Kluyveromyces lactis: one gene and its partner. The protein of the gene in region 1 interacts with the protein of each later gene in a pairwise test. Links are inferred from orthologs where the notes say so. Each region holds a gene or a part of one and is shown on either strand. Other genes may lie near its edges.

Region 1 (2,282 bases):
TTTTTTTCTGAATATTAAAACAGAACTAAACGACAAATTTAAAGTGTCTCCCAAATTGTGAAATGGTCGGATAGAAAGATAACGTACTAATTAATAGCCATTGGTTTCTCCTTTCCTATACTTAATGATCACAATAATTTAGGTTTCTTGATCTGTTAGTGGTTAGAGTGTTGTTAAGCCAGAGTTGTATTTTTGCTTTAACATACAATTAATTAGTTCATTTGTACATACAAATTGTCCATATGCAATAGAATCCTTAGATAATGGCAAATAATAAATAGAATAAATAAAAAAAATATTTTCAGAAAATAATAAAAAATAAGTTAAAATAAATTCTTCAAAAAAATACAAAAAACATAATTAAATTCTATAAAATAAAGCAAAATTCACTAAAATCAATCAAAAGTAACACAAATGTTAGCATTCAATAACAGTTCTACCTTCAAATAAATAGTAAAAACGCATAAACAGGAACGAAGATTATAGTACCTGCTCAACTTCTTGACAGTGGAGTCTGTCGTACGTAATGTATTCAAAAATTAAGTAAAATCATAAAACATCATGTGACTAAAATCAAATTTTACATTTTCTCTCTTTTTATATAAAATAAATTTCTAAACTTTTACTTTATTGCAATTAAAAATATTTTTTTATTAATTTTATATTGAAAAAATTTTAATTAAAATAATGTGGAATTTTGAATTTTTTAAAATAAAATATATGTTTTGAAAAATTTTAGTTTCCGAAAATTAATTTATTTATGGTATTTTGCTTAAGCATAAGAAGTGAAATTGGCTTAAAGCTCTAAAAAGGATAGGAGCCATCTTTTTATGTTTGCTGAGATCCGAAAAAACACTAGAGCAATGCCTCTCTTTTTTTTACGGATACATGGCTTTTCCTTTCTGTTATTTTAAGAGTAGCTTTGATTCATATGCTCAATGTGACAGGATAATATCTACAAGAATAATCTCAACAAAGAAAATAAAAAAAATTTAAAAAAATGTCTGTGAAACGATTAGCATGCTTGTCTGCCTCAAGATTGATTTAATTTTTGGAGTGTTAACGTTAGGTAGGAATGAATCAGATATTGAAGATTATAATACTTACATATTGTTCTTCATATGCATACCCTGCTTCTTTCTGGCATGGGAATCTTTTCTTTTCATTTCTGTAACATGAAAAATTAAAAACCGTAAAAATCGAATTATCAATGAATTCGAACAGAGTTGTTAATGCGATGAGATGAAGTGAGTCCCAATAAAATCAGCATCATTTTGTTATTGTGAATCGAATTATACCCGACCCATTAAACTAACTGCAGATATGAAATTCCTAACTACAAACTTCCTTAAATGTTCCGTGAAAGGATGCGATAACAGTAACCTGAATTTCCCACTTCGCTACGTTCGTGAAAATTGTCAACTAGAACAGGATGAGAGCATCGAATTCAACCCGGAGTTCCTTTTAAGAATAATTGACCGTGTTGATTGGCAAGCTGTAGTTTCAGTAGCATCAGATTTAGGAAATACTGAGCTACCACCCAACAAACCAGAATTTGAAGAGAATTTAACGGATGAGGACATGGTCATTCTAAGAGATCTGCACACACTGTTAATTCAAACTAACATTGTAGAGGGACAAATGCAATGCAAAAACTGTGAACACATATACTACATAAAAAACAGCATTCCAAACCTCCTTCTACCACCACATCTAGCATGAATATTCAAATCCAGCATCTATATATGTACATACAGTGAACTTTCTAGCTTAATAAAGAATAATTTCAGGTCACGTGTTATATCAGCTGACGACGAGGCTTTGACAATCAAAAGGCCCACATTGTTGAAGAGCCACCATGATGAAAATCCAGAAATGGAGAGAAAACAAGGTTTGTATGTTCGAAAAAAAGAGGGTTTTAATCCAGCCAGGAATGATTCTTAATTAAGTAAAGAGTGTTAAAATAAAATCCAGGATGCACCGTACTTCGCATAATTTTCGTTATTTTATTGTATTAGAGCTGTAGGAAGTAAGTTTTATTGAGTACTTTGCTAACACGAATAAAAGGTTGTCTTAAAACGCCCCGTGAATACACGTTTTCTTCGGTTAAATATTTTGCCAGGCTTTTCAATCCGGTTTGTTTCTATCAGTTTTATATTAACACCTGTTACAGCACCGGTACTTACTTGTATTTTGCTGTTTCTTTTGAGCCTGATATAATAATCATTGAAAGCCATATACTCTGTGGGGTTTTGTTGACCAAAACTTATAGTGATATTAAT
Region 2 (2,516 bases), on another chromosome or scaffold:
GAGCGTTTGTTGCTCTGTCTAACAAGTTCCTTGCATGGTTGATATTTTTCCATTTGATTTCACTGTCGATGTATTGAATCCATAGTGGAATAAACCCATGATCAACAAGAAGAGCGCGTTCATAAATGGACCTAGCTCTTCGTATATCTTTCTGATCAAATTCAAATTGAGCATACCTCATCCATTGACGAAGGTCTAACCTATTTCTTTTCAAAACTGTCTCATACTCTGTTCTTTTCCTTCGTTGCCAGTCTTTCAGTTCTTCCAAATCTAATATATCTGCCTTCGTAGTAGCTGCAATCTGCTTCTTTTGGCTAAAGGCATCCTTCAAAATATTATCGGCAGTGATGGCTTCATTGGATAAACTATTGTCACCCATGTTACAGTATAGTCAGGTAAGTTATCCGTGTTTTTCTTACTTTTGTTTGCATCGTTGTCGTTAAGTTCATCTGTTTCTACAATTATAATGTTCGCACTAAATTTGATATCTGAATCATTATGTATTTATAAGGTTCATTCATGCATACAAGGAAAAGCAACAAGCATGTGTTACATCCTTCCTTTGTTTGATAATTGGACGGTCGTGTAAATGTAAATTATGTCATTCATAGTGTTAGCTTCCAATAATTATAGTCGTTTTATTAAATGCAGAGTAATTCCTCCAGGTATTTATCTGCAAAATACTTATACACATACGTATCTTGAGGTTTCGCAATGCAATGACACATGGCTCTCAACAACCGCCTCTTAAAGTTAGAACAAGATGTAAAAGAGATCCATCTTGCAAGTCGGCACTGCCGATTGTTGCGTTATCATCTCTGATTTAAAGATAGCATTACTTACTAGTTAGTAAAAGAGTCCCTACATTAATTTGATATCAAACTCTTCTCAGTTCTGAATTATCAGTTAATTAACATACATTTGTTTGCCCTGGAAGATCAACTTCTGCTGTGATGGTGGAATACCCTCTTTTTCTTCTAATAGCTCTTTGATATGATAGACCGTTTCTGAACTTTGAACATCTACGGAGATTTCCTTCCCTGTTAATGTCTTGACCTTTAATTGCATCTTTCTCAACCACAAACAAGCAACTGATTGTCGATTCTCTGAAAATGGTGATTAATAGTTGTATCAAACAGTAGACTAGTTGTTAAGCTTCAATTTAATTACTTTCTTTTAGATGACCTTTTGCATACGTTATTGTTCAATATCAACTTTTCAAATACAATATTATATATGCGATGACTTCCATGTTTGAAAAGATACAGGTGCAGAACAGATATTGATGCGAGCTATAGCTCATCAGGGCTTAGGATAACAGGGCGATGCTAGCTACACCATACGTCTCTTATGATTATAATAAAGTATACGAGCCAAGCGAGGACTCTTTTCTTTTATTAGATGCATTAGAAGCTGATCTGAGTTGGTTGAATAACAGGTTCAATGACGCAGTACCATTGACTATAGAAATTGGTTCTGGTTCTGGGATAGTCTCTACGTTTCTTATGCAAAATGGTATACCAAACGCCAATGGACTTTATTTGGCAACTGATTTGAACCCTTGGGCATTGGACGCTACCTTAGACACTTGTTCGAAGAATGGTTGCAAGAATAGCCATTTTGATGTATTACAAACAGACCTTACGTCTTCAATAAGGGAAAATGAGGTCGACCTGCTTGTCTTTAATCCACCATATGTACCTGCAGAAACTGTACCAGAACTGCCTCATTCAAATCATGCTGTTCGTGATGATGAGTGGCTCTTTCTAGCATTGGATGGTGGTGATGATGGGATGGTGGTCACACAGAGACTATTGAATGGATTGGACAGAATTCTTAGCTGCAACGGAGTAGCGTACATATTGTTTTGTGCTAGAAATAAACCTGAAACTGTGGCAAGTAAGATGAAGTTCAGCGGATGGAAAAGTGAATTAGTGATACACAGAAAAGCAGGGTGGGAAGTATTAAGTGTTTATAAATTTTATAGAAACTGATGAACGCAAATGTGAGCTTCTCATTGCTTAAATGAAAATATTTATTGAAGATCACTTAATGAATTGATGACAAATGTCATGCGATAAATCATCAATACATACCTGTTCGTTCAAGGGGTTTAAGTTGTACATCGCTTCATAGTGATCGTAACTGAGATTGAAGAAGAAAGGAATGAGGTTTACAACGCTGTCAATGGAATGTATGTTGACTAGCAAGGGAACACGGAATGTAGTATCTTCATTCAGTGTAACACCCGACGTCGTGACCATTACCAAATCTTTACATTGGCTTATCTCGTCTACTAGCGCGACATAAGGATCCTTCTTGTAAATACTATTAATAGTGTCAATGACGAATAACCACTCATGAGTGGCAGAAAATTCTTCTACGTTAACGGTTAGAAGAAGATCAAGAGTCTTCGATACTTGAAGGACAACATTACTGTCAATGGATTGTTGAACTTGTATAGCTTCATATATTGTGAGTAAAGATGATTGTAAACCTGAGAATAACATCGACCA

The links. The genes of interacting proteins can lie anywhere in the genome.
Region 2: the proteins of TRM112 (region 1) and MTQ2 interact in binary tests that used the Saccharomyces cerevisiae proteins (3 or more experiments, as listed by UniProt). The link is inferred for Kluyveromyces lactis from reciprocal best matches to the Saccharomyces cerevisiae genes TRM112 and MTQ2.

What each region holds. Positions count from the first base shown.
Region 1 is NC_006039.1:1,637,593-1,639,874, forward strand, and holds TRM112 (RNA methylation protein TRM112), read left to right. Parts: upstream 1-1,323; coding exon 1,324-1,722; downstream 1,723-2,282. UniProt on the Saccharomyces cerevisiae protein: Acts as an activator of both rRNA/tRNA and protein methyltransferases. Together with methyltransferase MTQ2, required for the methylation of eRF1 on 'Gln-182'.
Region 2 is NC_006042.1:1,643,455-1,645,970, reverse strand, and holds MTQ2 (S-adenosylmethionine-dependent methyltransferase), read left to right. Parts: upstream 1-1,325; coding exon 1,326-1,994; downstream 1,995-2,516. Other genes in the region: CLF1 (Clf1p), read right to left, coding at 1-379; NEDD8 family protein RUB1, read right to left, coding at 734-818, 920-1,068; DOP1 (Dop1p), read right to left, coding at 2,046-2,516.